Linked DNA regions of Oreochromis niloticus. The main gene of each other region encodes a partner of the protein of the gene in region 2 in a complex. Links are inferred from orthologs where the notes say so. Each region holds a gene or a part of one and is shown on either strand. Other genes may lie near its edges. The genes, in order: prkab1a and prkaa2.

The links.
Region 1: the proteins of prkaa2 (region 2) and prkab1a are in contact, whole or in part, in a crystal structure (PDB 8BIK), measured with the Homo sapiens proteins. The link is inferred for Oreochromis niloticus from reciprocal best matches to the Homo sapiens genes PRKAA2 and PRKAB1. Residues at the interface, in NP_006243.2 of Homo sapiens: Gly9, Val11, Lys12, Ile13, Thr21, Lys29, Lys31, Asn48, Arg49, Arg53, Asp56, Val58, Ile61, Lys62, Ile65, Gln66, Lys69, Val82, Ile83, Ser84, Thr85, Pro86, Thr87, Asp88, Phe89, Phe90, Met134, Met164, Ser165, Asp166; in NP_006244.2 of Homo sapiens: Pro79, Thr80, Val81, Arg83, Thr106, Ser108, Asn111, Val113, Ile115, Gln154, Val155, Asp159, Phe160, Glu161, Val162, Phe163, Ala165, Leu166, Asp169, Ser170, Lys172, Cys173, Pro186, Tyr187, His188, Gln189, Glu190, Pro191, Tyr192, Ala202.

Annotation. Positions count from the first base shown.
Region 1 is NC_031972.2:28,444,345-28,460,249, forward strand, and holds the start of prkab1a (5'-AMP-activated protein kinase subunit beta-1a), read left to right. Parts: upstream 1-8,681; 5' UTR 8,682-8,810; intron 8,811-10,157; 5' UTR 10,158-10,211; coding exon 10,212-10,361; intron 10,362-10,487; coding exon 10,488-10,657; intron 10,658-10,921; coding exon 10,922-11,015; intron 11,016-11,581; coding exon 11,582-11,696; intron 11,697-11,928; coding exon 11,929-12,062; intron 12,063-12,249; coding exon 12,250-12,318; intron 12,319-14,871; coding exon 14,872-14,949; 3' UTR 14,950-15,905. Other genes in the region: phf24 (PHD finger protein 24), read left to right, coding at 577-673. UniProt on the Homo sapiens protein: Non-catalytic subunit of AMP-activated protein kinase (AMPK), an energy sensor protein kinase that plays a key role in regulating cellular energy metabolism.
Region 2 is NC_031986.2:38,372,770-38,388,918, reverse strand, and holds the start of prkaa2 (5'-AMP-activated protein kinase catalytic subunit alpha-2), read right to left. Parts: upstream 8,414-16,149; 5' UTR 8,340-8,413; coding exon 8,240-8,339; intron 7,033-8,239; coding exon 6,891-7,032; intron 5,025-6,890; coding exon 4,931-5,024; intron 3,214-4,930; coding exon 3,069-3,213; intron 1,456-3,068; coding exon 1,368-1,455; intron 1,177-1,367; coding exon 952-1,176; intron 569-951; coding exon 406-568; intron 235-405; coding exon 1-234. Other genes in the region: plpp3 (phospholipid phosphatase 3), read left to right, coding at 10,315-10,453. UniProt on the Homo sapiens protein: Catalytic subunit of AMP-activated protein kinase (AMPK), an energy sensor protein kinase that plays a key role in regulating cellular energy metabolism.

The DNA.
Region 1 (15,905 bases), on a different chromosome or scaffold from region 2:
TTTCCATCATTACATCTATCAAGTTGCAATTATTTAAGGACACTTGAGTGTGTGACCATATGCCACAAGGCCCTGAACTGAGGCAGGGGCCTCAGTTCAGCTCCAACCCTGGACCCCTTGGTGTCCCCATGCACTCTTCCCACCTTCCTGTCTGAAAAATCTCCACTGTTCTATCAAATAAAGGCAAAAATGTCCCAGGAAAAAATGTCTTGAAAGGACCATTATCAGCTGGGCATAGCAGCATTGAGAAAATACTACTGTGCAGTTCATGGTCATACAAAGTAAAGTACATACAGTAGGACTGATCAAAAACTATAGATCTTATGGCCACTATAGTGAGGTGCCAGGATGACTCCTATTGTGGTGTGGTGTATTATTTCATGGCATTAATTTGCAGTTACAAAGATGTACAACTGCTGACTCTTTCTGTATAGAAATAAAAAAAAAAAACAAAAAAAACTGCAACACTATCAGCAAACGCGATTAATTTAATTTGTTCAACAATCAAACATTAGTTGTTGTTGTTTTTTTTTTTTTGTTTTTTTTTAACTAAACTTTCTTTTTTTTTTTACACAGGCCAGTGACCTGGGCAGACTTTCTGAGGGAGAGTGGCATCTATATTTTGGCTGCACGGCCTAATAGTTCTGCCATGCACATCAGACTGCCTCTATAGTCCTGGATCCGCTACTGCACTCAGCAGAGGGAGTGAGAGACGGAGGATGTACCCCTATAGTCTACAGTTGAGTGAGGGAGGATAGACATGCTTATACAATGACATGAGGATGGCAAGTGAGAGAACTGGATGAAGCAATGAGGTAGCAGATCAAGCCAGTGACAGAATCTCTCCTCCTCTGCATCACCTCAACACCACAACACTGACAATGCACGCTGACTGACACACCACAGACGCAAGTGACAGCAGCTGTCACAGGTCCCCACTCCAAAACCTGACAGCTTCCAACAAATGTGAAAGCTAGAACAAGTAAGACAACCCACTCACAACCTAATCAGCTGGTGATATTTCTGAAACTTGAAATGATCACGCACAGTCAGATGAGCACCTAGGATGATCACATGAGCCAACCTAGACTCTACAGTTCTACAGCTCCATAAGACACCTGGGTGGGCACATTAGGGTGTTGGGCTTCTACTCTTTCATGTGTTCTTTCCTTTGGGCCCCAAAATGTCCTAATTATAACGCCACGCAACTGAAATGGGATTGTGTTATGCACCATTAAAACTGTTAATCGCGCCACACAGAACATGCAAATTAATTTCTGGTAGTGTTTGATTTGTGGGAGGAGATTAACCACGCAGCTACATTAACGGAACATATACCAAACAACATTGAAAGCTATCTGCATACATTATAAGAGAACTGCTATACATACCAGTATAAATTATCATGCATTAAAAAGATGTATTTATTCCTGTATTCTCTGATGTATCCTGTTTTCTCCATTTCACCCAAGAATCCGTGTTCAAGAAAATGCTAACTGTGAAAGGGGATGTTAAAGCTAACCCTGTAAGTGACATGTATATACTGCCATATAGTGCATTTTGGTATTATTGTCTCAGAGCTGCACTATAACAAGGTGTAAAATGCCACTCCTCGTATTCTAATGTCATTATTTGCACTGTGGGAATGAGATGTAGTTGGACTATTGACATAATCACTGTACTGAAAGACTGAGATCTGCTGGAAATGTTTGTCCTTTGCTAATATGCAGAAGCACTCTTTAAAAACTGCTATGGAAAACAAGATGAAATTATATAATGTAACAGATTACACGATAATTTTAAGGCACGTGAACCTGCCCCTGAATCACTAGAAATCTACTGTAATGAATAGGACATCATGTAGTGTTTATGCCATGTAATGGAGGTTTTATGCTGGGTTCTTTTGAAGTAAATAAAGTATGGTAATTAAATCAAATTGTGTGGTTTGAGGGATAATGTGTTGTAGTGCTGAAATGCTTGCATAGTATTTACCATATTGAGACTCTTTGTTTTCAAAGTATCAGCAAATATAATTAAAACTTTACAGATTTAGGGGTTTTTTTTTTTGTTTTTTTTTTTTCATTTTAAAACTCAAACGATATTAAATGGAATGGGGATAAGACTCAAATCAAAGATCAAATATTAATTGGAAAATTAATAAAAATAAACCTAAAATAAAACTGACCATGTCTGATAGGAAGGTTACAGTAACCGGTGGTATACTGATGAGCATCAATGAATGCACAACATATCAAACCTTGACACAGACTAACTACAGCAACAGAAGACCACACTGGTGCCACTCCTGTCAGCTAACAACTGGAAACTGGCTACAATTTGCACAGTCTCGCTTAAACTGGACAATAGAATATTGGAAAAGATGTCACTTTTGAGTCTTGATTTCTGTTGCCACATTTGGATGGAAGAATTCTTGGTATAAAAACATGAAACCAGGGATTTGTTCTGCCTTTCATCAATTGTTCAGGATGCTTCTGGTAGTGTAATGGAGTGGGGTATTCTTTAAGCGCACATTGTGCCCCTTAATACCAACTGAGTATTGTTTAAAGCAGGGGTAGGCAACTCCAGGCCTCGAGTGCTGGTTTTAAGATATCACTCTTTGTCAACACATCTCAATCAAATGATTAGTTCATTAACAGGCCTCTGGAGAACTTCAAGACATGTTGGGGAGGTAATTTAGCCATTTGAATCAGCTGTGTTGGATCAAGGACACATCTAAAACCTGCAGGACGCCGCCACTCGAGGCCTGGAGTTGCCTACCCCTGGTTTAAAGAATACTGCCTGCCTGTCCCTTTATAACAGTCTACCCTTCTTCTGATGGACATTTCTAGCAGGATAACAAGCCATATTACAAAGGTCTATTCATCTCAGACTTGGTTTCTTGAAAATGACTGAGTTTATTGTACTCAAATGGCCTCCAGTTACCAGATCTCAATCCAATCCTTACCCAGAAGGAACACAGACCTCAACCACACAATGTACAAACTGTCTTGGCTAAACACTACAAAAATGTGAACTTTCTGACCAGAGGCAAAAACTAAAAATCTGGACCAAATTTACACAAACATTAAAGAAGCATAGAAGGCTTTGCCCTCTGTCTGTTGGATCACATTTCACTGGCAGTGACTCCATAATATAGAACTCTAATCTGTAGAATCAGATCAGCTGTTAAAACTGTTCAGGTCTGGAGTGAGGAGATCGCTTCACTACTGCAGAACTGTTTTGAAAGTGCAGCTTGAAACAGCATCAGGAAATGAGTATAAACTCTATGACAAGCCTATTTCTCATTTTGAAATGGCCCTTTACTGGCACTGTTAAACACACCACATGCAAATCAAACTCAAAATTCTGTATTCTTCATAAGCCTCCAAATCATCCAAGGATTATCTAAAAAGGGGAAAAACTACTACTGCTACTACTTTACCAATGTTGTACTTATGTTTGATTTGGAACTGGTAGCTTTGTCATTCTTTTAGTATAATGTAATGTGTGATGTGACTTCTGGGATTTATCTGAAACCAGACATTTAATGACACAATGTTTGATCAACTCTTAGGGCCAGTGTAACTTATGCTAGCTTGTTGCATTTGCTAAAACAAAACAAAACAAACAAATCTGCATGCATCTGACAGCATCCATTGCTGTTGGTGAGAAATGAGACTGCTTTTGTTTACTTCTGTGTGAAATTGAATAGCCATTGTTGTGCAACGGTAGAATGAAAAGCTTGACAAGCGTAACATAGCAATAGAGTAGCACTGAATTTACACTTGTTTAAAATTCACTTATCAGACTCTGTTTGATTGCCTCATGCACTCTTTTTCCAAGCAGCTGGAGCAGACAGCACGACGGGATAGAATTGCTGCAACATCAACAAAGCTATGACTGCGAAGATTACACATTTCATGGAGTATAAAGAGGCTTTCCTTGAAAACCTCAACCATAAAATCTCAATATACAGCATGGAGGTCAAGAAGGTAGAACATTCAGAAGTGGCCCTTCGTGGAGCAGTTTGAAATGAAGTGTTGCCTTTAAGTGTATGACCACTGGAACTTTCACCTACACACAATTAAAATTAAAACAACACTCTCTCATACCTACAAGAGGTTATACCATCTTTGTGCTAAGCGACTTTCCATATATTGATTGAAAAGAGAGTACAATTTGCCTCAGAAAGTAAAGGTGGTAAAAATAGAGAAGGGAAAATGTACAGTAAAATAGTTGTCAGACCCTATAGCTAAGATAAGATGGCCTTTATTAGTCCCACAGGTGGGAAATTTGTTAAAACTAAGAAAAACAACCAGAACTAGCACAAAACGGTAGAACATGGTTGCAGAGTCTAATTACTAATACGTTAGTTATAAAAATTACTAGAAGAAAAAAGATAAGAAGGAAAGAAACTCAGAATGAGCAGAGCTGCTGTAACAGGCTGCCGCACACGGGGGGCGCCGGAAGTAGCTCCCCTGTTGCCCTCAGGCTTTTTACTTTTATCTGTTAGTAATGGAACAGAGTCCAGCAGTTATATCTACCCAGATGTTAAACTGAAGGTCAGACTAACTGTTCAAACTAACTGTAGGTGACAAACACACAAGCAGTAGAAAGAGAGAAAAGGCAAAATGGAGGGAGAGAGAGCGAGCGTGGGAGTGAAATCATTTGGATGAGGATGTTATGTAATTGTTTCATAACAGATTCAATGATGATCTTCTTGACCAGGCTAATTGCTACATTAAATGCTGAGTCAAATGTGAAACTTGAGCTCTGAATTAATTCAAGGTTATCCCGCCCAAATAGCCTCACAAATTAACGTGCTAATGAGAAAGACTGTTTGAAGCCCTCTTGTGCGGACTTTGCATCATTTGGGATATTCAGCTTATGACTAAGTACTTTTTTTTTCTGCTGAAACAAAGGCTCCGAAAAATTAAGATTGTTGAAAAGTTGTTTGAAAAGAGCTGAAAGCAAAGCAAAAATTCTGACTTCACTTTCTTTAAAGCATGAAACAGCAACTCTAAGCAGTGAATGGTATAAAAATATCTATTTCTCCTTTAATCAGTGTCATATTGGGCAGAAGCAGAAGAAGCATAAATAAATTAAAGTGTGCATTGTAGTGGTCTGCCCTGCTGCCTGTTCAGGGACTATCTTGCTTTTCACCCATTGTCAGTCAAGTTAAACTATTCTTAGACCAAAACAGATGATGACAGGATGCATGGCCAATTTACCAATCAATTAATCCAAGAATGTAAAACATGCAAACTAAGCTATTACATCTTAAAATCCAAACTGTTCTGTTTTATAGGGGGATGACTATTTTTCTATTTTCCATTTTTGTTATAGTTTCAATCAATAAAAATAACCAGTAATCCAATTCTGTCTACAGTAGATAAACCATGGCATGTTCCTAAGTGCATTATGAAAAAAAAAGTCAGTGAATTACATGTGAAGGGCTCTGTTGTCATAAACATGGAAACTATCGTCACTTCCAAATTTTGCTTCCATAAATAAATAAATACATTTTGATGGTGCATTAATTTGTTCCTAACTGCCTCCAGCAACTGCACAGTTGACTTTTGTTTGATTTCAGTGTCCCCAGTAACCTCTGTACTGTATTTATGATCTGTTTTTTTTAAAAGTACATCTTCAACAGAAAACAAATAATGTTGTTGTAACAGAGCTCTACCTTTCAGTTAATGATAGTGAGATGATATGGCATCATGTTTGAATGTTAGCACTTTAATAAAAGTAGTCTTTGCTTACTAGTCCATAAGTGTGCCAAATCGGTGTTATGCACAGATGTGAGCCTGTAAGAGTATCAAAGAAACAACCGTTTTTTGGGGTTTTTTTTCTTTTGAGTCTCTCCATGTGTGATCCAGAGGAGCTCTGTACAAAGGTTATCTGGCGTGTCCTACAGGGAGTGTAACAGGGCCAGCTGCTGGCAGAGGTGCTGTGATGCGGATGGCTGCTGTTGTGTGATGGCTTCACTCAGCAGGGATGAGTAATGGTAAACAAGTGTGGCAGTGCGGTCATAGCTCTGGGGAAGCAGAGCCAGAGGAGAGCTGCAGTAAAATGTCAGCGCACAGTTTCTTCATGGAGTTCACAGACTGGTTTGAGTGCCAGTGCAGGATTTCTAAATAGGCAGTGAGTTCCAGTTTGGCAACTATTAGGTTTAATTTTTCTGGTGGTAATGAGTGTCAGTGGCAATGCCTTATCGTAGAGTTTGATTTGAAGGTCATCTGCATACGTGGGAATACAGACACAAGACACTCCAGTCTCACTGAAAAACAAGACCTCAGTGGGGATACTTGCCAACTCCTTTTCAACACATCAAAATCCATACCATCCAACTCTATTTCTCCAATGCCATTTTTAGATCATCCTCCGCATGTAAGCAAATAATTCACATCCCACTTCCACCAGCACAGCCAACTTTTTCCTTGGAGCCAACTCAGTCTTTGCAACTGACACGAGCCAATTACAGTCGTCTGGTTCCAGGAAGTACAGCCATTGCTCTTTTTTCATTTTTCTTTTCTTTTTTTCCTCTTGAGCTAATTTGATTCAATGTTGAAGTACTCAGTAAAAGTGTTGCATTTGTCCACTGCACAAAAATATGCATTTAAAATTTTGGCTCATGCTTTTTTTTTGTTTTGTTTCGGCATCTCTAAAAAATAAAGCTGAGGAAAAACCAACAAAAGCTGGCTATAACAAGGCATAAGCTGTGAAGGGAAAAATTAAATCTCTGTAATTGAACACCCCATGTGGATCGACATCTGTGTGATGCAGTCAAGTGTGGCTGGCCATGGATGTAATTTGGGGCTGTGCCTGCTGTAACATACACAGATAACAGGGCCTTGTGAAAATGTAAATTCTTCTCTTTTAAAACGGTCCAGTGAAATCCCACCTCCCCTCAGCTCAAACATCTCTACTGGACATTAAAAAAAAACCAGAGCCTTAGCTGCTCATTATGTGCCAAAAGGCTGCACAGCTTTCTCTGCCTCCTGTGTCTCGAAGATGCTGTTGTGCCATTGGGGGGTGGACATCGTTAACTCTTTTAAATCTCTGTCAAACTTTAAGAAAAATGAGAGTTGATAAAGTTAGGGAATGTTGGTGAGGGGACAAACAAACATCAAAGGATTTTTTTAAGCTTTTGCTGCAGTTTTGTGTGACTGCTAACAGGAGATACTGTAACAGAAATGTACCCCATGAGGTGCAATAACAACAGACAGGGAGCGAACACTAATAGCAAAAAGCACTGCATTTGCTGTTAAATGTTCCACTTGTATTGCAGAAGTAACAGAACATAAAAATGTGTAGTTAATAAAAATGATGACAATCCATTTGCTGTGTTACAAGTAGCAACACAGTGTGCTGTTACTGTATGACTTATAATAAATGCATTTTACTAAAGCTAAATCTGAATACTTTTTGATGTTATTAATTGCACCTTCTCTTTCCCTGCTTTTTCTTTTATTACCAGGCACACAGACGCCACAGTACTGCTCAGGGTGCTTGCCACCACAGCAGCCTAATGAGTTTTCACACTGTCCAACAGTTAGGTCGGGCTGCCTTACAAGGACTGGTGATTTGCTGCTTCGTCTCTATCTCTTTATCTCTACAGGGTGTTGATATTTTAATCATCACAGAAGCATGGCTTTGAATTCAAACAATTATTTAGGTGACCGTATTAGGCATTCTCACAGCTGGATCTGATTCCACATATTACATTTGTGAAATGTGTTAAAGGCAATTATACCAAGGAACAAATTCATAATAAATATCAGGGATAGGATAAAGCTACTGTGTTTTTGTTATACCAGCAGTCTAATTTTTGCCCAAAGCACTGTCACTGGCTGCAAGACATCATTAGCCTAACTGGTGGTATGAAACACAATGTATAAGCATATCATATTTAGACCTACTACAATATTCTATCAGTATCTGCATCTATATTTATGTAGACCATGGATTGGAGATTATGACACTGACAAAAAGACAGGAGGCAAAGCTGGAGTTGGCAGGGTTGAAGACGATAAGATTTTCATTTGGAATGACCAGAATGGAAAGGATTAGAAATGAGTACACCTCAGGAGTAGTCTGTGTTTGGATCTGTGCACAGGAGGGATATGAGGATATAATAGGCAAATGATGTTAAATATGCACCTGACAAGCCAGCGGAAAAGAGGAAGACCACAGAGAAGATTCATGGATTTAGTGAAGGTGACTATGCAGAGGGTTGTTGTATCAAAGGATGCCAGAGATAGGTCAAGTTGGAGGCAGGTAGTCTGCGGATCATCAAAGCTGAAAAAAGTGTTTTTCTATGGATTTGAAGGATTGCTATGTGCATTTTAAATATTACAAATGTTGCACAAGGATGGCAGCAAACTGCATTAAAGAAAAAAAAAAGTCTCATCCTTCTATTGGCTCATTAAACACAACTCTATATCCATTGTACTGACCCACATTGCAGGCTACTTGACTCACTCTTCCATCTAGTGTTGAGTACGTGACATTACGTCTGTCATTATAGAGAATTACATTATAAAAGGTTATAATAGTCGAACATTAAACCAAAAGATTTATTATGGATAAGAGCAGTTTATGAGACAATAAACGACGGTAGTAGTGATGGGTAATATTTTGCTTTTCACGAGGTCAGGGTGCATTAATATTTTGCATTTTGATGATGTGCGCATGCGCAACAGGGGCCGGGTTCTGCTAGAAGGATCAAATGTTTTTGTTTTCGTGTGGGATGGAAGGTAGCTGACAGGTCGATATCGATATCTACGACGGCAAACGTTTCTCAGGTAAACAAAACAACCCTGCGTTTCTTGTCGGTGTTTGCGTTCATTAGTTGGTGTCACCTTTTAAGTCGAAGCAGGTAGCAGGTTTGGGCTACATATGCTAGTAGGTTACCCAATGTTAGCTTTAGTAACGGTGTATTTCATAGCTTCTTTGGTAGATATCTCTTATAGCCTGGTGTTTATTTGTTATAATTTAGAGTATGAGGCCACAGGAAGTGGGAATGGAGCTTAGACGTTAAGATGAGCTAACATAACCGCAGGCATGTCACAGCCTTTGATGCTAGTATGTAAACACAGTGTTGATAAGAGAAAAACACGCTGCGCATACATGTACACACCTGTTTGACATCGTTTCCATAAATATCATCATATAACCAAAAATAGCCAAGTTATTCTAAGGAAACTGAAATGAGAAGGTTTTCATGTTGCACGGTACTAGAGTATTCCAGTAACACTCCCATTCAGTGGTATTTCCAAATACAGTTTCATACTTTTCCTAAAGTAAAGTAAACTGGCAGATATCATAACAGTAAATCAGTAAAACATCATTTGACTTTAAAACCTCCAGTGTCACTTGTGGGAGTGTTTCAGGTAGAGTTTTATTTCATTGTATAACATTATGAGGTCAATAATAAGTAATCCATTACTGTAAATATGGTTTCTGCTGTTCTTTTAAAAAGGTTGTCTTACCTTTACTTGTGTGTACTGATACAGCAGGAAGTGCAGATTCCATGATATTGTTCTATAAGTAAAAGAACAACAAAGTGTGTTCAGAGTGTTGGCTAGAAAATTGTTTTTTATTCTGTAATTGTATTTTTATATTGTAAATAACTGAGTGTAAGCTAAAAATGTAAGGAACAGCATTATATTTATAGGCCTATAAATGAACTGCAGTAATGTAAATGTATTCTAGAGACAATGGTATACTCAATCAAATACACTGATCCTTTAGGAATTAGGTATCATGCTGAAATACGTGTTTTATTAGGATCACATTTAAACTAACATTACAAGACAGTTGAACTTTGATAATGCAAGTGTTCAGGTGGGACACTGAAACATATACAAGATATCTGGTATTAATGTCTCAGGGATTGTTTTGGAGTCAATAAAGGAACTCCTAGTTGTTCAGTATGATACACTGAGAAATGGAAAAGTTGTAGTCTGCCCACATGATTCAGCTTGTTCTACTGCAGAAGTCACTATAAATAATGTTGGTACCTAAAAATGTCTGTTTTGAGATTTGCAGGCCTAAAAAGCAACATTTTTAACAGTAAGCCTTTAGCAGTTATAAATAAATCTGTAAGGTGTTATGTAGTCTCTTCTGAGTTTACGGCTTTCTTTACACAGCTGAATCAACTCTACTTGCAGTGACCTTGTAACAGCCCGCAAGAAGACAAAGCCATGGGGAATACAAGCAGTGAGAGGGCTGCAATGGGCCACGGGGAGAAGGCTCAGCGGAGGGACAGCCGAGGTATTAAAGAGGGCGAGAGGCCAAAAATCCTCATGGATAGCCCGGAGGATGCTGATATTTTTCACGGAGAGGACATAAAGGTAAATTGCGCTGCTCTCTCAGAGGCGCATATCAGGTAGAATTTATAGCCTTCTTGGCCCTGTAGATTTCTTCAAACTCTAATCCTTGTTGATAAACAATAGTCTTGTGTATGATATGCATTTCAGGCACCTTTAGAGAAAGAGGAGTTCCTTGCTTGGCAGCAAGACTTAGAATCAGATGACAAAGCACCAACTCTGGAACGACCGACAGTCTTTCGCTGGAAAGGAGATGGAAAGGAGGTCTACCTCTCTGGATCCTTCAACAACTGGGCCAACAAAATTCCCCTTATTAGAAGGTGAGAGCATGTTATAAATCTGAACATGTTTTTCAGGTAGACCTTGAATTTCTGGCTGTTTATCTTTTGAGATTTAAACTAGAGTTTTAACAGATTTCTTTTACAATATTTCTATTTGCATATGAGAAAGGTTTAGTAGAACTAGCCAAGGAGGCAAATCTATATATTATAGGTACATGTGATTTCTTCTTCTTTTTTAAATGGCTGGTTTAAATTACCTGTGTGCCAAATGTTTTCTTTTGTTTTGTTTGTGATCTATCAAAGTCAGAACACCTTTGTGGCAATTGTCGATCTACCTGAGGGGGAGCATCAGTACAAATTTTACGTGGATGGCCAGTGGACCCACGACCCAGCTGAGGTAAGCGGTTACTCTCGCAGTCATTTATAAGCGTATTTTACTTTTCTTACCTAGACCTCAACACAAAATCTGCAGCAGTTTCAGTTTTTAAAGGGATTGCAGCTCTGCCATTCCTGTAAAGTCTGGGTAGACAAAAGCATATATTCACTGATGCAGTATTATTATCATTGCATTATGAGTAATAACTTGTGGGTGTATTAAGGCCACTAGTGTAGGTTAAGATGAGCTGGCTTCATGACTGACTGCAGGCACTTATCTGAGTCACCTTATCTGATGTCATGCTTTAACAATAAACATCTTTTTTTCTCTCTTCAGAAATATAGTAACAAGTGTATAAAATATGTTAGCACACACATATGGTAAACAGGACAAATGGTGCAGTGGAGGGGCGTGACTAGAGGTAGAGTAGTCATGAGTGGACATTAGTTTAAGAGGCTCAAGTGGTTTGTTTCACATCATGATGCTTGTTAAAGCAAACAGTGGCCTGCTATTATATAAATTATGTCTTTCTGGTCTATACTTTTGAGCTTTATTTGTGAGTTTTATTGTCTCCTGTTTCCTAACAGCCTGTTGTAACCAGTCAGCTAGGCACAGTCAACAATATCATTCAGGTAAAGAAGACTGACTTTGAGGTTTTTGATGCGCTAATGGTGGATTCGCAGAAATGCTCTGACATGTCAGGTGAGTGCCGACAGCCACTTTTAATCTGTGCTTTTTTTACATTTACTGATCCAGACTACATGTATGGAAAGCAGGGGTATAAAGTGTTCAAAAAGAATCTTCATTCATTTTAAAGACCAACATTTTTGTTCCTGCCTTTTTTAATGGATGTCAACATTGCTGTTAAAATCTATAGGTTTGAAAATAATTTAATGTTCTTGTCATACTGTTCCCCCTTTTTTTCCCCCCTCAGACCTTTCTAGCTCTCCTCCTGGGCCATATCATCAGGATGCTTATGTCCCTAAACAGGAAGAGAAGTTCAAATCTCCACCCATTCTTCCACCTCACCTTCTACAGGTCATCCTTAACAAAGACACTGGGATTTCTGTAAGTAGCTGTAATCTGAGATGAATTTGGCTTATTCCCACTTTCCCCTGCCCCCTAAAAATAGAATAGAATAGCCCTTTATTGTCATTGTACACGTACAACAAAATTGTGAAAAAATGCATCCACAAGAATAAATAATACAGATCATTTATTTGAAATGTTGTTATTTTGTTTGTCATTGTTTCAGTGTGACCCTGCACTGCTCCCAGAACCCAACCATGTCATGCTCAACCACCTCTATGCACTTTCCATTAAGGTAAGGTTTCAGGGTGACTTTTAAGATTTTTGTGTTTGATGTTTTTCGGCAGCGTGTGGGAGAACTTGATCAGCTTTGTAAGCATTTTAACAGAAAGTATGCGCTGCTGCTGCTGCTTCTGCTTTTAGCAAGCTTGCATGTTGTTGGCACAGCAGATTGAATCTATGCAATGCCAAAAAGGCTGATAAATGGGACAGAAGAACAGATGAAGGACAGATAATTCTCCTTTCACAGGAAAAACAAACTTGCATTTCAAGATAGCCACAGCAAATGTCTGCATGTAAAAAAAGGAGTGGAAAACAAAACAAACTATGTGTATTTTCCATTTCAGGTAGCGGGTGGTCAGATATTCACTTTTTTCCATTTGGTTTCACCTGTAATGTAGTTAAGTAGTTGTACATGGAGCAGATAAAATGCTAAATACAGAGCTTAAACACATTTTTGAATGACTTTATGTAGGCTGTGCGATATGACCAAAATCTCATATCCCGATATTAAGACATCTATCGTCCGATAACGATATAAATCACAAAAATGTAACATTTTCTGTAAATTCTGTGAATGTCGGGCAGCTCGACTTGCGTGAAGTGTTTCCAGCTGGGCGTCGCGTACCTGGAGTCGAGTGTTTTAACTGATGCATGAAACGATACATTTTTAGACATAAGTTGTAACAGCCGCCGTTTTCTTTGTGAGTATTTATCACACAGCGTGCTGCGGGGAAAAGCCTGTTCGAACGTTTGAGTCTAAGGTTTATTTTTTAGCATCTGACGGCTCTTTTTTGCTTCTCATCCGTAAATACTCTGCATCTTTCACGTGATTCAGTTTATTTTGAAAAGTCTCAACAGGATCTTGAGCTTTATTGTGAAAGGTTTATGTGGAAAATAAACAAGCAGACATGCGGTGGTTTTACCGTCGTTGTTGCTAACGACAACGCATAAAAACAAGCGCTTCTCCGTCTGTAGTGTGGTTATATTAAACATAAGAGAAAGAGAGAACTTTAGGAAATTAATATAGCCACTACAGTGACCATCAAAATAATGAAAAAATATTGCCGTAAACAGTTTATTTTGCGACACCACGAAACAAACGATAGCGTAAAATGAAACGATAGACGTTTTTATATCGTCATCCGATATATATCGTTATATCGAACAGCCCTAACTTTATGTTCACCAATTTGACCTGTGAGAAAAACTTTCATTTTGGGGACAATCTGAAAGGCTCTATTTAAACTTAATCTTAATGACTGTTGATACATTAGTAATGCTGCTAAGTGACAATCTTGAATATGCATCACATTATTTCATTATGTCTTATGTCTGGTTGAGTAATCTGATTAAAAAATACTTCTGCTCAGACGGTTCAATTCTAGAAATTGCAGTGCTTTTAATAGCTTAAAACTTAACAACTAACAAATAAACCCTTTCATTGTATTCATGCTATATTGAAATCAGATGCAACAATAAATAGTCATAAGTACAGCAATGTCAAACAAAAATAAGGCATAATATAAAATAGCCTTTCCTCGGTCTTCTAGGAAGTCTTTGTTACGTTAGGAGGCAAAAAAAAGTTCTGACAGTATTGTTTCTCCTGGATGATGTAGTGTGTTTATGTGTGTGTTTTGTGCACCTCCATGTGTGTCTGTGTGTTTAAATGTGCTAGTGAATGAGTTACTGTGTGTGTCTGTAACCTTTAAAGGAGCATGTGGTGGCTGCAATGAAGAAAAGTGAGCATATCACCATTCTCAGAACTGAGGGTTGCTGCCACGTTTCCTACTGCACAAACAGACACTCTGATGGTGTAGATGTTAATAATTAATGTTAATAGTTAATGTTTAGGATAATTCAGTGTCCAGCCTAACAGTCCCAGGTCAGTGACTCAGAGTGTTACTGGCCGGTGGAAAGAAAAAAGGAAAAAAAGCAAGCTTTTATTTTTATAAATTTCTTTTAAATATATATTTACTATATACATCTGACAAATTGTTGTCAGAAGAGGTGATTTGATGAAGGAGTCCCACCATGGGCACCCATTCAAGTTTGTGAATGTGATAACTCGAGAAGAAGGTGACGCATCACCTTCAAATTGATACCATAAGTGTATTTATTAAAAGTCTCGGACGAGTTCGAATCTTATTGACGTCAACTTAAAGGTCAGAGGTCATGTTTTCTGAAAGTCCTGTTAATACGAGAAACTTCAGAACAAGGTGACGTAGGATTTTGAAATCAATACCATAGATCTGTCTACCAGGAGGCTGGTGGTTGCCAGTATTTTCTTTGTCTTTATGTACATTTATATGAGAGTCTGAACAGACTTGGGTGTGAACTGCAATTTGACTGGTAGGGGGAGGCATGCAACCATGATGCTGCAATTCTGGTTTCATGTGTGTCCTAAAAAAGCCACAGCCTTACCGATTGCAGCTTAACCATACTGGCTTATAGCATGGTGGAACTGTACATGGTAAGACTGATGCTACTGTTTCCATACTAGTTGAAAGCATGCATTGTGTGAGGTTTTAAGATGACTTCTCCTCTGTGTTGTATCTTTCTGTCACAGGACGGAGTGATGGTACTCAGTGCAACACATCGCTATAAGAAGAAATACGTCACCACCTTGCTTTATAAGCCCATCTGATGAAGCATTCTTTTCTATATTTGGAGCTGTTGTTAACTGTACACTGAGTGTACAAAATGTTAGCTACACATTTTTTTTTCCCCAAAAATCCAGTATATATTCCTTCCAGGTTTCACCAGTTAGATCCATTCTGACCAAAAGAAGCAGCCCTGAATAAGCCGAGGGAACAAATTAAGTTTGTAAAATGTTGACTTGATTTCCAGAAAAAATTTGGACTGAGGGTTATAGTAATTGCTTTACAGTAATGCACTAAAAGCAATACATACAAATAACAAATGATTCAGTTGGACAGCCACTTACTGGAAAACAGACAGAAAAGAGTTATTTTAAAGGAAGCCTGCTGTAAAAGGTAGTTTAAGTGATGATGATGCTTTTCCCATGCAGTACATCACATCCGATTTTTGTGTCATATATCAGCACAACTAACTAATAGCTGGATTGGATTGGTGGGTAAATGAGGTCACTGTGTTCACTTCAGTTCTGTGTTACTGTGTTTACTATAGGAATATTTAATATGTAACATAGACTATAGTAATTATATAGCACATCGTGGTTTTTGGGCACCTGTTTTGAAGCCTGAAGTTGGGTACTTCAAGTATTATTTCTTTCTTTTTTTTCTTTTCTTTTTTTTTAACTGGCAAACGAGTGGTGGTTGTGACACTTAGTCGTTACATACACAACAGTGCCCTTACAGTACCCTGCTTTTTCCCTAGTTTTACCCTGAATGCGAAAGTGAACATAATTTAGTATTACATAAGATGATTGAAAGCATAAACTCATTAGTAAAGTGTGTACGGTGGTCATAAGTCAATAGAAAAGTAGGGTTATTTTACTAATAGACTTCCATAAAATCTGACTTTTTTTTGCAATGAGTGGGCTTTTCCCCTGCTGGAAAGATTACAGGTTTAAAGCACTACTGCTTTTAATATACAGTCTTTGGCCAGCAACACCCACTA
Region 2 (16,149 bases):
TGCCAGCGGTTTAGGCCGAGTGGTGTTGAGAGCATCCAGAGGACAACGAGACTTTGGGCTGTCAGCCAAGAGCGGAGGCATCCTCTCTGGGTGAGGTTTAACTCCAGGGGGTAACGGCATTCCCTCCTCTATAAAGGAGCCCTGTGGAGGACTGGACGCCAAATAGAATTCACTGGCCTGGGTCATGATGCGCCTGTTATCTATGATGAGGTGATAGGCTACGGCTAACTGATCCTGCGTAAACAGAAGGACGATGAAAAATAAAGTGAAGACCAAGGAGATAATTCACTCCCAACAGACCATTATACTACTGAAACCTACAAACGTTGTTTACAGCTTTTATAATATATCAGGTTAAGTTTATTAAACATAGAAAACATGGACTAGAACAAAGACAATGAGCACCTGTGGATCTCCACTGTACAGGCTGGTCACAACCTCAGATTCAGTGCATTCAAACTTCTCGCACACTTCCCTGACAGCCTCTTCATCCAGAACAGTTGCATCATATGACGGATCCTCTGGGAAAAGGTAGCCTGGTAGGTCCTGCTTAAACCATTCGTGTTCCCTATCAAAAAACATTGATCAACTCAAACTCTTCATCCCAAACTCAATACTGACATTATCAGACACGCAAGTTGTGACTTTTAGCTTGCTTGAAACTGCATTATCAAACAGAGGAGTCGGTAATAACAATCCTGTGCCACATTACAGAGCTAACAGTTATAAAAGAGTGAACAGGCAACTATTTGACATATTGAGGAAAGAAAATAAAGCTATAACTTGAGTTATAAAGCTATGACATTTTATTTTGTGGCAACATTAGTTAAAGAACTCTTTTTTTAAATAAAAAAAATGATATATGAAGAGAAACATACAGTATAAATAATAAAAAAGTGCTAACAATGTAGCTAAAGGAGGCCTCTGGATTCAAGACAGTGGGGTCAGTACCTGATGTCTTTAATGGTGGCTCTCTTCAAAGGATCCACCTGCAGCATTAGCATCAGCAACGAGGCCACAGAGCGGGTCAGGTACTCTGGGATGTAAAAGACACCTCCTCTGATCTTCTTAAACAGTGTGGGGACATGCTCATCATCAAAGGGCAGGGTGCCACACAGCAGGGCATACAGAATCACACCACAGCTCCAGATGTCAACTTCTGGGCCTGCGTAGAGTCTAACAGAGAGATGAAAGGATGTGACAGTTAACAACAACAACAAAAAAAAAAGCCAGATGCTTAACCACCAGAAAAGCTTTTTTTCACAATGATTTATAGGTTAACGGTTAAACATAAATACAATTATTAGATAAGTCAATAACAAAAATAGTTGGTTGTATGATCACACACAAAAAACAGACACACAAACCTTCCTGAGATGACTTCTGGAGCTGCATAGTTGGGTGAGCCACAGCTAGTTCGTAGGAATTCTCCATCTGACATCATGTTTGACAGTCCTGTCGGACAATCCCAATTAAATGACAAGAGAACATTAATATCTCTCTGTCTTTATTCTTACAGCAACAAGCATAACAACAACAAAGCATCTTAGTATGGAGATGAGCCACCTGCTGCCACCAGAACAGCTTCAGCTTTAGAACTCTTTTAAGGTGTTCAAGCACCCTCAAAAGATATTTCATCATTCGGTGGAGATGGGGCGTGGAGAGCAGTGAACCTATCTCACATAGGTGCTCAACTGGGTTTAGATGTGTGATGGTTGTAGCATATCATTTTATCAATTCTATTAATTTCTAATAATAGACCGATATATTTTTCTTCTTTCCATTCAACTTAGAGTTTCAAGGGAGTGAAACCTATCACTGTCCATCTGTCGTGTCATCTGTCATGTCTGTGACAGAGAGCCAGTCCAGCACAGAGCTGGCACAACGAGAAAGACTAGTCATACCCACCCCTATGGCCAATTTAGAATCATAAATTAACCGACAATCATGTCTTTGGAGGCAAAACTTCACACAGAAAGACCCAAAACAGCACAGTATATGACCATATTTTCCATCCTCATGAATCCAGTCAGTGACCACTAATGGCCTATAAACAGGGTACTGTAACCCTTGAAGCGACCACTCTAGCAGACAGGATAGAAATGTTTCATCCCAGGATGAAGTAATAAGGTGATCGTTCAGAACATTGCACTGATTTCTAGTGACCTTTTCCTCTAAAGGAACAGACGGGCTAGTCAAACCCTGCCAGCAAAAAGATCCCAACAACACAACACATCTCCAGAACCCCTCCTTGTACGGGTCAAGGGTTCAGGTTTTTCCCCCTAATCTGTCACCTGTCTCCAGGTTAAATTTGAACATGGCCCAACAGGGAGTTATACACTGCGGACACTACTGAGACCTTTATCCTTCTTTACTCTCCAAGACACTAAGCTCTAAACACAAAGCTCGTTTAATTGGATGAGCCTCTCTCTGCCTACCAGGGTCTCTGCCAAACATTAAACGTCAGACACTCTGTGTTGTGCTGACCTTCCCTTTATCTTTTATCCCTGGTCCCTTAACACTCCCTTGCTCTGCTTGCCAGTATTTTTGCTCTCAGCCAAAACACTTCTCCTGCTGTACTCCACTGCCACCCCCCCCCCCCCCCCCCCCCCCTCTTGATTCCTTCCCTATCAGATGACACTGGGCCTCAAGGCTTCCTGCCAGACTTGATATGAAACCTTGCCGTTGCTAAGGGATGTCTCTCCACCCCACACGCCCTGCTGCGCATAAGGGCCCTTGTGTGTTTTTGAAAATATTTCTCTCTTCCATGTTCATATTACATCAGCAATTTTGACTTAAATTACAAAAATTAAGGCCTTAACTGATAAGAGGCATTCTCAAGTGACATATTCCTTATCATTTAATAAAGCTAAAAGGTGCACAATTAGAGTTCACATTTTTCTTCAAGTTAACAAAGTTACTGCATGTGTTGAATCATAAACAGCTGTCACTTGGCTTTATTTAAACTATGTAATTTTATTCTGTCACCCTAAACAAACCTCAGTATTTTATGTGTCCTCTTACCATGAATTTGCAAAAGAATTCTATTGTCGAGCCTGTTTTCTTACCAAAGTCTGCTATCTTTGCATTCTTATTGGCATCCAATAGGACATTCTCAGGTTTGAGGTCTCTGTGGACCACCATGTGCCGGTGACAGTAGTCTACAGCTGAGATAATCTGCTGGAAGAGGCGGCGTGCTTCAGTGTCCTCCACCTGAAAGACACAAAATGAATAGACATGACTGATCTGAGTGATGATGCTCCCTCTGATCTACAAGTGTGCAACTGGGTCAGCCTGTCACAGGACCCAACTTTAAAAACATTTCTAGCAGATTTTGTTGAGTCAGTGCAAAAAAAGCACTAACATTTAGAGTTATTATGGAAAACATTCATTTACTGATTTATTACAAATGGAAAACATTTCAGACTGGGTTTTCTACGCAGGTAATTAAATTTAAGATCAATAATCATTAGCCCATTTATCTCTTTTAAGTGCCATTAATGACCCGAGAGAATAGCTGGCTTCGTGGATGCTAATGGTAAAAAGCTAGTGATTTTAAATACTCTGGTTTTCTAAACTGTAGAACGCTGCCTACGGACTAGTTGAAAATGGGCTTCAACACAAAAGGTAGTGACAACAGAGTTCATGAAGAGAGAGAGGGGGAGAAGCACAAAAAAGAACAAAAGATTAAAAAACAGTGGACAGTGGACAGTTTCATTGCTTTTAACACTAGTTTCACTTGACTATAATCAGTGACTTTGGCTCGCTCTCCTTGGCAGAAGCAGGACTAAAGGACCAACAATAGCACAAACATGTACAAGAGTAGGAGTAGTGCATATTGTGGATGTTTCTGACCCTGGCGACATAAACAGGTAAGACATGCAACGTTCTGCAAAGGTGTGTGTAGGCGCTGTGTGGGACTAATGCATAACCATGCAGTCCATTAAGAGTCACACTACTTAAATTTCAAAAGGTGAAGTTTATAAACATAATAGAAAACTATGAATGGCTTTACTAGACTTTCCTAGGGCAGCTTTTCGTGACTCACAGTTCAAAATAAACCTTATTTATGTCATACTAGGCCTGTGGAACCTATCAGTTAATATGATGTCTGAGCCATCTTTACGCTCATTTTAAACCAACTTTCTTCTGATTGGTTGCCCCTCGTGAACAGAAAATCTAAGAAATGTTTTTTATGCTCACAGGTAGAGCTTTGTGCTCTAGAGATATTTGCTTTCATTGACACCACACAGAGCTAAGGGCAGAAAAAACTGCCTGAAATTAAATGTTTAGACAAATCTAAAGCATGAAACTTTGGCTCATAGGAATTACTTTCACATAAACTGACTTCATCTAAGTTTTTGAAAGTTTGCCCATGTTTAACACGAGCATCCACTATTATAATGTAATATGATGTAATGTATACATGACAAAACAAGGAGAGACGTTGTAAGTCGCACTTGAAAACAGAAGCACATGTTTAGGAACATAGTTTAAATGTGCATTTTAAGTTAATTAAAATATAGATACCTACTCAAAATGACAGTAGTAAGAAGCTTATATTTAAAGCTAAAGCAAGACCATATAGTTTATAATATATATAATGTGAAGGATGTGGATTTAAATAATGTGAAAAACTACAGTCAACACAAAGTTAAGTATAAATACACTCAGCTATTTTTAAGAGCAAGTCTACCTGGATTACTGCACAAGCCCAGGAAACAAACCATCATCAGATTTTTGCTTGATATGTTTATCAAATATATGCAACAATTGCTTTTAAACTGTCAGAACTGTTTAACCAGTCAGGCTTCTGTTTAGTCAGCTAACCATGCCACTGGATAATAAAAGAATTTCGGATGATTCATTGACCACTGTACTCAGCCAGGCTGAAATCTACCAGCAAGATAATAGAAGAATGTCATCTTACCCGTCCATTCTTGCAGATGTAATCAAACAGCTCGCCTCCCGACACATACTCCATGACCATGAAAAAATCTGTCGGTGTGCTTATGACCTGGTACCTGACAACAACAACAAAAAACCCCAAACTGTTGTATTTCAATGAACTTTTAATACATTCATTAGTTGATTTCACCTTCTATCTTCTATTTTCACCTTTTATTCTCAAAAATTAAAAGTGTGATCACTTAGACATGTCCCTTTTTTAGGTAGATTAATTTTTAATGGAAATAACATTAAAATAATTAAAACTCTTTTTCCTGACAAAGTCAGTAATGAAATCATTAATTAAAAATTACATGTTTTTAATTGAATCGCTAGAGAGGCGTATAGCCACCTCTGTCCAGTTTTTTGAGTATATCAGGAAAAGATTATGATGGGCAAAAGACATTAGCAGAAGGATATATGGCTTTTTCTTTGCAACTCTGCCTACAAGGGAGGCCCCGGGAGCTGCTTCTTCACTGCTGATCCCAGAAATAGTATTTTGTGGTTACCAATTAGCGAAGCTGCCAGTTTAGGACCCATGAGGTGTCTGTTTCTGAAAATAGAGTGTCTGATGCATTTGTTTCCTTGCTCTGTGTTGCAGGCCTCTCATTCCTCTTTCTATTCAGGTTCAGGTTTTTGTGGTTTTATGTAGGGGGTAGGACACACCTTTCTATGGCATCTTCAGTTTTCACAATTTCCCACAAGGAATAGCTTTCATTTCCCTATTAAGATGGCTTTCAAAATAAAAGTCACTTTTAATTCTCGAGCAGGCAAGAGTTGATGTTCCAGTAACTCAGCTAACCAAATGAATTGTTTCTTTAATCAACACAGCAGTTATCAGATGTGCTATCATATTTGGAGAGGTTTCTTCTCATGATCATTTCTGTAACTTGTGCAACAGGACACAGGAGTGATTGTTGCTATTAAAAATCATCAGTCAGTCATATTTGTCATTCATGACATTTCTGATTAATTTACTGGAAATAAGAACAAATGTGCTTTTCTTTCAAAACAAGGACACAGATGAGTGAACCCGAATGTCTAAACCTATATCGTCTACATAAACAATACACAGCATTAGCACACAGAAACAAAGGCACGGCAAGGCTGTGATATTGGGTTGCTTTCATAAAGGTCAGGTATGTTAAATTGCAGGCACAATTTCATGAATGGTTGCCGGTGGTAGAATATAAACTTTATCACAATCTATTTCAATCCTGTCAAGCTGGGTGAAGCCTAACACCACAGGGACTATGGGAGGAGAAACATTAAGACAAATAACTTCTTTTCTTCTAACAGTTGAGAGTGTGGCAGCTTTTATAGTCATGGTCGGTATGTTAAACTGCTTCCATGTCTGTACAAGAAGTGTACACAGTGTGCATGTGTTTATTATTGTATATGTCTCTGACACTGACTTCCACAGCACTCCAGCTTATGACCTGACAACTCGCATATCTGCCATTGCTTAGAGTTTTACAGTGGACTAACCCTAACCCTAGACTAAAAATATCACAAACAATGTTGAGAGGGACGGACAGACATGGACTAACAAGGTGAAAGAGGCCAGGGAGATAGAAGGAAAGAGAAAGAAGGACAACAAAGACACGGAAAGACCCATGAGGAGAGAGGGATTTAGACAATATCCACCATCTTAACTGGAGATTTGTCCTAGCCAGAGCACATTTCTTTATCTAGCTCAAAGCTTGTGTGCGTGCATTGGTATGTTTGTGTGTTTTACCTCCTGTGAGCCTTGTGGGCATGCTCAGTAGAGTACAGCTCTAGAAAACACGTGAACAAGCAAAGCATGCCACAACACACAGCAAAGAACCCACGTTACAACAAGCAATAATAAAAGAGAGCCCAGTTATCTCTCTGCAAAGCCTGTCAGTCTTCACTGAGAGTCTTCAATCTGACAGACGGATGTGTCGTCTTTCTCCACTTACAGCTTGATGATGTGTGGGTGTCTGAACAGCTTAAGATTCTGGATCTCTCGTTTGATCTTCCCCACAACATCGAGACTACGGATCTTCTGTCTGTTCAGGATCTTCACAGCCACTTTATGGCCTGTCAACTGATGCTCACCAACTAAAAACAACAGAATGCAGACATGAAAGAGACAGACCACAGAGGCTAAAAAAATTAATAAAAAATAAATAAATCACATAACCTACTACATAAGCAGCTTGGTGTGGATTAAAAGGGTTACACTTTGATTTGGAGTCCTGTTGCGTAGGAAGCTCGCACGAAGTAGTGAATGAACTGTGTTTGTTATATTGAGCTTTTGCTCTCTTTTGTAACCCCTATTTTCTTTCCATGCGTTTGTTTATAGTGTTGGAGCTATCTGCCTGCTGGAGGCTCTGAAACCAAGCTGTTATTGCAGCTGCCAAACACTGCACACGAAACTCAGAATCAGATACGAACTGGGGCATGAACTGCTCCACAACTAACACACAAGCAGTAACCTGAAACGAGCAAGCATTACATATACACATACAGTCATTTTGTATTCATTCACACATGACTTGACACAGATTTTCACACTCCTAGTGGTTTGGGAGTGTGAGCAAAATCATTTTCCTTAATAATGATGTTCAGAAATAGCCATGGTTTCAAATGCTTTAGCAGCACACACAAGAAACAGGCGGGGTGAGCATGGAGTTAAAGCTCACAAGGTCATGCTGAGTGTCAGAGAACTAGCGAAGGCAACCCTAATAATAATCTGTTATATGCATCCTTTTGAAGCTTTAAGATTGTCTAGGGTTTGCCCGACTTGACAAGCACTTAACAAGCTACCACCGGCTAGCAGAGAATAACACATCGGACTAGCTTGCAAACATTAATGTCAGTTCAACGTTAGGTTCCCACGGTGGGTCAAACGGTGAGCTTCAGACGTCCTTTGTCGCCAGACAGGGCAAAGGACAGCCACCACCGCACAGTCCTTATTACTTAACGTTATACCATAATAATGCGAGTGTGACTGTGCATCTCCGTGCATCCAGGTTTTATCACCTCCCATAGCTGATAACAGCAGCTACTGAAGGGGGCTTCGGTGAAAGAATTTGACTTTGAAGCGGTCGGATTCTCAGACTACAGTACGTTTAAAATCCAGTCTGTTGCCGTGGTTAAACCGCTCAGCTACGCCAACTGCTTCACTGACCACCAGCAAGTTGAACGCGGAGCGTTAAAGAGATGGGAGGGGAGGGGGGCACAGCGACTACTTGACATTAACTACTCCAACTGAAGACACAAACGTACACATGAAGCCTGGCATGACACAGAAACAGGACTTAACTCTTCACTTTGCCGAATGTCCCCACTCCGAGCGTGTCGCCGAGGATGTAATGGCCGATCTTTACCCTGCCTTCGTGTTTCTGTTGTTGCCTCTCTGCCATCTTCTCCGTTACCGACGGCTTGGATCGCTCGGGGAGGTGGGAGCACTGCCTGCCTGGCCTGTGCAGCGCACGGGGGCGGGGAGGAGGGGGCGGGGCACTTCACAGTGAAGAATCACCAACGGCGGAAAACGCGCGCACGCACGCGAATTATCCCTCCAAGAACCAGGCGCGCTCTCCCACCTACCTTGCACGGAGCGACCGACGGGGTGTTATGTTGAGTTTAGTAGCCCAGTCAAATACCAACCCTCACGGTCTAAACACAGTAACACCTGTCTGCTACATGGGTGTGTAAGGTATGTAACGTTTGCGTATAGACCGTTATTAAACCAGTCCTGCAATAAATATAGACTATCAATATTTATAAAATCGTATATATATTTAATTTCTTAAATTTCGTGAGTGATTATTAGTATGGGTATCTGTTGTTTTAAGTAAATTGATTTTTTTTTCTTCATTATTCATAAATGCACTCTGGTGCAGTAACACAAGCGTCATTATTTCTGTTGTCAAGAATCTTACAGACTGCAATAAAAGACCAGTACTTGCATATTATGCACAAAACTGACCCTGGAAGATCCCGTACATTATTGCCTTAATTCAAGTAAGGGACTGAAAAGTAACGCTACCCAGTCTTTACATTTACATATCTAACGCTGGTGTGTGCATATCGTCGTTTCACAAATTACGTATTAGATTTTAATAACCTGGTTAAAGAAAATAGGTAGCCATGACAATTTTAGAAAACTTAAAAAAGAAAGAAAGAAAGAAAAAAGGACAAAGTTGAGCTGTTCGGATTTCACCACTAGATGGCAGTATACGCATGATTCATCAATACCTGGTATGAGTTTCGGATTTCGTTCTGCTGCTATGTTCTGCGTATGTTCAATACGCAACAAGCAAGCAATGTTTGTTTATATAGCCATTTCCCCGGACAAAAACCACATCGAAAGGAATCTAGGACAAAACAACAATGTGAAAAAAGAGGAAACGGGAATACGATGAAAATACACAAAATAACACAAGGCTCGAGCTTCTCAAATTGGACAACAAATAGTGTTCGCTCACCAACATATTATATTACATTATGTTATATTATAAGTTTTTTTTTAAATTAAACATATAAAAAATCGTCTGGAAACAAAAATTTCCTGAAGTTAAAAAAGATTAAAATCACGAATTACACACTTCCCGACTTTGTCTCTGTACTGGACAAATATATATAAAGTTTCGACACATTTTGCACATGAAAAACAAATATCAATCTTTTAATTAACAATTGAACTTTAATTGTTACAATATTATATATTTTTTTATCTTTTAAAATAAATTCTTTGTCGAAAATTACAACAACAAAAAAAACTCTAGCACTATATACTGGAACATATTCTCTTTATTTTGTCTGTCCAAGAACAAAGATTTTTAATAGTCTCAACTCAAAAGCGCTTCGGTTGTTTCGCGCCTGTTACCGTGAGTAACCGCTAGGAGTAGTTTTTCCGTCTGTCCACTGCTGGGCTCCACTCTTCCAAGTTTTTCAAGCAGGGATGGAGACGAGAGGAGGAGGGCTGCTGTAGGAACTAAGAGAGCGGGGGGAGGAGGAGGAGAAGAAGGATTGATATAACAAGAGCGGCTGTCGATGCGCAACGCAAGTCTCACTCCAAGTCTTTGAAACAAGACAGATAAAGAGGAGCGGGCTTTCCATTCAGTACCAGTGCAGGCAAATTTTTTTTAAACTAAGTTCGTGCCGCGGGTCCGTTCTCCATTTAGCCGACTACTCATCTGACTTTTAATTATTTTGTAAAAGTGAAATACGAGAGAGCGAGTCATAAACAGATCAGACACTCCGAGAGAGCTGCGAGTTGGGAAGTTTGTTTCCCGTTGCTTTGCATGACATTTCTTCCAAGGACTTGAGAGCCTGACAGAGTTTCTTCACAGACCGTGCAGTGTGGGATTTTGAACTGAAACGGGGACTCATCAAATGCAAAATTACATGTATGAGAAAGCAATGGCTCAAGAGACAAGGAACGGAGGAACCTCTACGTTAAATAACAACAATGGTGTTGACAACAGTAAGAAGAAGGTGCTAATAGTGCTCGATGTCTTCTGCCTTCTACTTGGTAAGTTCACAGATACGTTTACACGATGCTTTCCTCTCTGTTACCATTTAAACTGCGTATCTCACATCAGCTGTTGTAGAGTACATGCACAAAAAACTGAAGACAGAAACTTCTGCACATTGCACTCACAATAAAAGCCCTCTTTAGAATAGATAAACAGTGCCCGCCTTTTCTCAAGTTTGCCAATAAGAGTATTATCATTTTAAAAGTTGCCCGTTATCTGTAACTGCAAAACAACTTAAGCTGCAACATCCCCTTATCATCCAGTTCCAACGCAACACCCCCGGGCAGTGGAAGTGGCGAACAAAAAAATAAAATAAAAAAATCAAACAACATTTCAGGAGTTCGCACTTTTAATTTTCTTTAATTCAACCCAGAATCACAATCAGTTTGTAAACTGAGAAAAAGAGAAAACTGTTGTTGTTATCAAGACAGCTGACTGACTTCTCATCGGAGAGAACTGTCACCAGATAATATACTGATCATTTCAAAGTCCATGGAGTGTCACTGTAACTGATCAGTTGGTCCTAGTGCTCCTTGTCAACATGCCCGGGGCATAAATATTTTCAAGTGTTCGAACCTGCCCTTAAAAATAACCAGACAACACCCACCACTTCCCCCAGTCTGTTCTCTGATAACCATGATCATCTGACCCCAAATCAGATGAACATGTTATTCAGTGGGTTATTCAGTGGGCATCCCATGCAGATTCAGTGTGCTGCCTTTGTGTATGTGTGTCTGTGTGTGTGTGTTGCTTTGCTGGTTTGTTTTTGGCTGTTGTCACTGTAGCCCAGTCCTTTTAGTGTTGAGTGCCAGTGCCCCCCCCCCTCCTTCTTTTCACACTATTTTCATTCCCCCCATCTCCCCTTTCTCTTTTTTGGAAAAGGATTATGGGAGTTCTGCTTAACTTCTACACATTCACTCCCAGAATCTTGCCAATCCCTGGCCAGCTGCCCCTGATCTCTTCACTTCAAATTACTTTCTTTCTTTCTTTCTGGCTCTCTTTCTCCCTCTCTGTCCAGGGGAATGCGTGGAATAATTGCTTAAGCATGTGTTGTGGTAGGGGAATGCCTCTCCAATTTGAGTGAGGGATCGAAAAGTGGGACCAGTGGCTGACCGGGCTTTAGAGGAGCAGGTGGGAGACACACCAATAGTGCAATATAAAGGAACTAGTAAAGTACCAATGAAGTATGCAACACTACCACACAGGAACTGGATTGTATCATCCAGTATGTTACAAATGGTGCACATTAACTCCACATAAGTGCTGTGAGGTAGAAGCAAAGCTCGCTGACAAAGTTTTCCATTGGGTTTATACTAGTTTTCTTATTAAAGAACCCCAGACAGAGATACACTGTTTCATCTGCGTTCATATAACTGTAGATGAGCTTTGATCACATGTGGACTGAATTTCCTGCACAAACCAACTTCCTTTATTGGTTAAAGCTCTACAGACAGTTCTCCATTGCCTTGTTAGGACACCCACACACACTCACAGACACGCATGTATGCCTGTAAACTCACACAATGTATGTAAGAACACAGTAACAAATGGTTACAAAGATTCTCCTTTGTTATGCTAAACACAATCTGGCTGCTCAGTGATGATTGGTTGGCCCACTTCAGTGGTTTGGGGGGAGTTGCGGGTTGGTGCGAGGGGTGACTGGGGAGGGGGTTAAAAGAGAGGGAGAAGAGATCAGTAGAAAGGGAGGGTTATCAGGGCATCCTGAATGAGGAAGGAGGAATGCGGGTGTGTTGTCGAAGAGCTCAGCGGAATGCTTAATGGTTGGTGGCTTTTGTTCTGAGCGTGTTTATGGCTAAAAAGTAGTGTACACTACTAAAACTAGGAAATAGATAAATATCTCATTACCTTTAATTAGTTCCTATTCTGCCAGCTGGGCTCTACACGCAGAGTCTCTGCAGTTACATCTTCCTAACGGATGTTAATGTGCCCAACTGACACACCCTTAGGCGCAGATAATGAGTGTCTGCATAAAAGACATCTGAGGCCATCTATAGCTGCACACAAGGACAAAAGAAAACATGTTTACATGTTTAATGAAGAACCCATCCCAGTTGGTTTTGCTAAACAAAAATGATAATGCACAAGCACAGCAAGATTAGAAAGGCATTGAAAAAGCATACTCACATTCTCTCCAGCACTCAACTACCAAGACCGGGGTTACGGCATACAGTTTTGGCAGCTGAGCGCGACCATCATCTGCTGATTTCACTCTGGATCAGGTTCCACTCCTACAGAGCAGTCGAGTTGATTTAGCAACGCTATAAGGAGCGTGCACACAAACAGTATACACTCACTATAAATACACAAACTCGACCGCAGAATTTCGTATTCCCTTTTGGCGACTCACTGCCCAATAGTCTTCTCTTGGCTGTTTGAAAAAAAAAAAATGTTTATTGTGAGAACACTGCAACGAGACACAGACTAGAGCCCTCTGGAACCCAAGCATCCAAAAGTAGTCTCACTTAAACCATGATTAAGTTTTACACAATGCAAAGGGGATTATACATTATGTGTTTGCTTCTGCAGAACTGGTTTGGGATGGAGTGGTCTTTTTGTAAAACATAAACATGGATTGTCCGGGACTGGCTTCATTGACTCTATATATGCTTCTTTTAAAGGATCATGATCTATCTCCTTATTATGATCTAGGAGGCAAAAAAATATATAATGTTTTAAAACATTTAATTATGTGTTTATTGCAAAATTTGGAGCTCTGATACAGTCAGGTGTTCAGTGGTCTGCTTTTCCACAAATCACAGACAGGTAGCCAAGAAGAGCGTAACCTTTTGGCCTCGAGGAATCAGCTTCATAACTGGCCCCGGAGCGTTAATCCTTCTGTATTCGACTCCTGCGTTCCCATCAGCTGCTATAACATTACAGCAGTCAGTCACACAGCCTCTCATTAAAGTCAGAGAGGTTTAACCTCCACCTCTCCAGGCCTCAGCCACTTCAATCCTGAGCCGCTCTACAAATATTTTCGAGAATTTCACAAATTCTTCATCTGGCTGTACCTCTGTGCCCAAAGACTCTGGATGGGACATCTGGTGCAATTTTGGGAGTAAGTGAACCAGGGGGCATATAGAGTGTGTGTGTATATTGGAGCTCAGGAAAGGGTGGGAAACGGAAAGGTAGTGTCGGTCGGAGGTGGGTGTGGTTGTGAAATGAAATCCTGACTCTTTTTTTTTTCTCCTAGTCCATTTCCACATCTATCTCCATTCCTTCCCCCTGTTCCTTCTCTACCGGAGCCAGTCTTCTGTCTTCATAATTGTCCCAGAATAATAAGGGAAAAATCTATAATGAACAAAATAATATTAGAAGAATATAGATATGCATAGATTATACAGTCTGTGTCTGTTAGAAAACTATATTGAAGCAGCATGTGAATCCATCAAAGAGAAACTGAAACACAGGCTCCAATCCAAAGATGCTGACCTTAATCCAAGGGTAAATATTCTCAGGGATTCTGCACAAGTCTTTCAGAGGTGAGAGCCATGAACATGTTCTTTGAAATATATTTGGCTGGGATTTATTGGGATCTGTTTAAACATTAGGTGAAAGGTCAGAAAGAAAATAGACTCACATATGATCAATGTCTGCAATGCTCTCTGTGTGACATTAGTTACACTCATGTGTCAACCACAGCAGACGCTTAATAGACATGCACAGAAGAATATGTCTCAGGATTCAGTTTTGACAGTGATCAGATTGAGTGTTTATTGTGAGAACACTTTGCACATCACAACACAACATAGCTTGATTACTCGACTATACTTTTGCCGTTATGATATCTAAATGTTATCTGTGGCCAGCCTGTGATGAGTGTTTATGTTGGCGGCTTCGGGACAAGGTGAGGTTATGGCTCTTAAGAAGGTGATGAGTGTCCTCTGGCAGAGGATAAAGATCAGCAGATGTCCCTGATAACAGAAGCCATAGGGATACTATCTCTCCTAGATAAGATGCTAATATAATTGCACATTTTTGAGAAGATCTATGTTTTTTTTCGTGCGTGTTGAGATGAAGAGCACCGGTTGCATCAATGCCAGACAGGTCTGCAGCATTTCCCGACTGTCATTGTGACATGCGGCTGGTTTCTGCTGGTGCAAGAGTTAACCACCAAACCCCTGGGGTATGTGCCTTAGCAGGGCTGTGATTAGAGGTGCGTGGGTGTGAGCGTGTGCATGTGTGTCCTTTGGGATTCGGGAGTAAGAGAGAGAGCACCCAGAGCTGTCATTAAATGGACCATATAGCCTGAAGGGTGAAGCATTCTGTATTCACTCTGTGGGTAGCATGTGTGAGGCATGTGTGGCTCGATTTATAGACATGTGTCCCATGTGGCTCCCGTGGGCAAGCTGAAGGCATAAGCTTGACCAATTTGCCTGTAGCTGTTCACACTGCTATACAAACCAGACACATTCATCTCCTTTACCTTTTTTTTATACTGTCGCCATCCTGGCACACAGATTGCACAATAAAACAAAGACACCAGCTTGTAGTTTACGCTTTGACAACAATAGTGTAGTAATGCCTCTCATTCTCATGTCTCATCTATGATTATATCCCTCTCATATAAACACTTTTCAAACTGCTTATTTAAGTCATTTTGGATTACTGGGCAGGACCTTACAATAAGCTTTTGTTAGCAGTCAATTTTGCATGTGTTTAAACTTGTGTTTTAGCTTTCACCAAGAAATGTAAATGTATATTTCACAGAATTCTGCATGTGGGCAACAAACATCTGTTTGCCTATTATACCCATGAAAATATTAACTCTTAGACTTTCTACTTTTTCCACAGTTACTTTTTTGATTTAACCCAGTGTTTTTCTATTAATCAACATGTGATGAACAACAATGGCACTAGCCCTTTAATGTAAATTAGAGCGCAAGCGGCAGATGATCTGAAGTTATGGGCCTCATTAAATCTCTTTCCCCCCCACACTATCCTTTCTTGGGCTTGCTTCCTGCTGTTACACAGGCCCCTCTGTCTGTCACTTTCTCTTACTGCATATACAGTCTTCTGTATTTGTGTGTGTGTGTGTGCTGTGTGCATCCAGGGATGGGGGTTTGGGGGTCAGGGGGATTTCTCTGTTTCGGAGAGAACAATACCCCTTTTGATGCATCTCAGCGCTCTTTGTTTCGTTAACAGGGACCAACAGACCAGTGGCAGACAGAAGGAGGATGAAATAGAAGGGAGGGGTAATAAGTGAATGAGGGAGAGATGAGAGGGTGTAAGAAGCTTCTTACTGGATACTCAAGGTCGCTTGATTATCTATCAGTGGTTTATGGCTGTTGCTGCTTCTAGCTGTATTGTTGACTGGATTGTGGGCTGTAGTGCTTATCTGCTCAGAGCTGTGTAGTAATCAGCTCAGCATCTTTAATGGCACAGGCCTTATCTAAGCTGCAGCCACTGAGCTCTATCCTGTTTACATACAGAGAAGCCCCCTGGCTGAAGAGGATCCATGTAACACTAGAAAACATCATGCTTTACATTTGTACTGTAGCAGCAGTTTAACATCTTGTGTACACAGTTATAAAAAATGGTCTGGGGTATATGCTGAAGTGAGCTGGAATGAGAAGACAGTCTTGCGTTAAGTTCAGGGGAGCATTACCCAGAGATGAAAGCATCAGGTTTCAGAGAATCCATAGCCCTCCTCTCCACAGCCAGGCTTTTG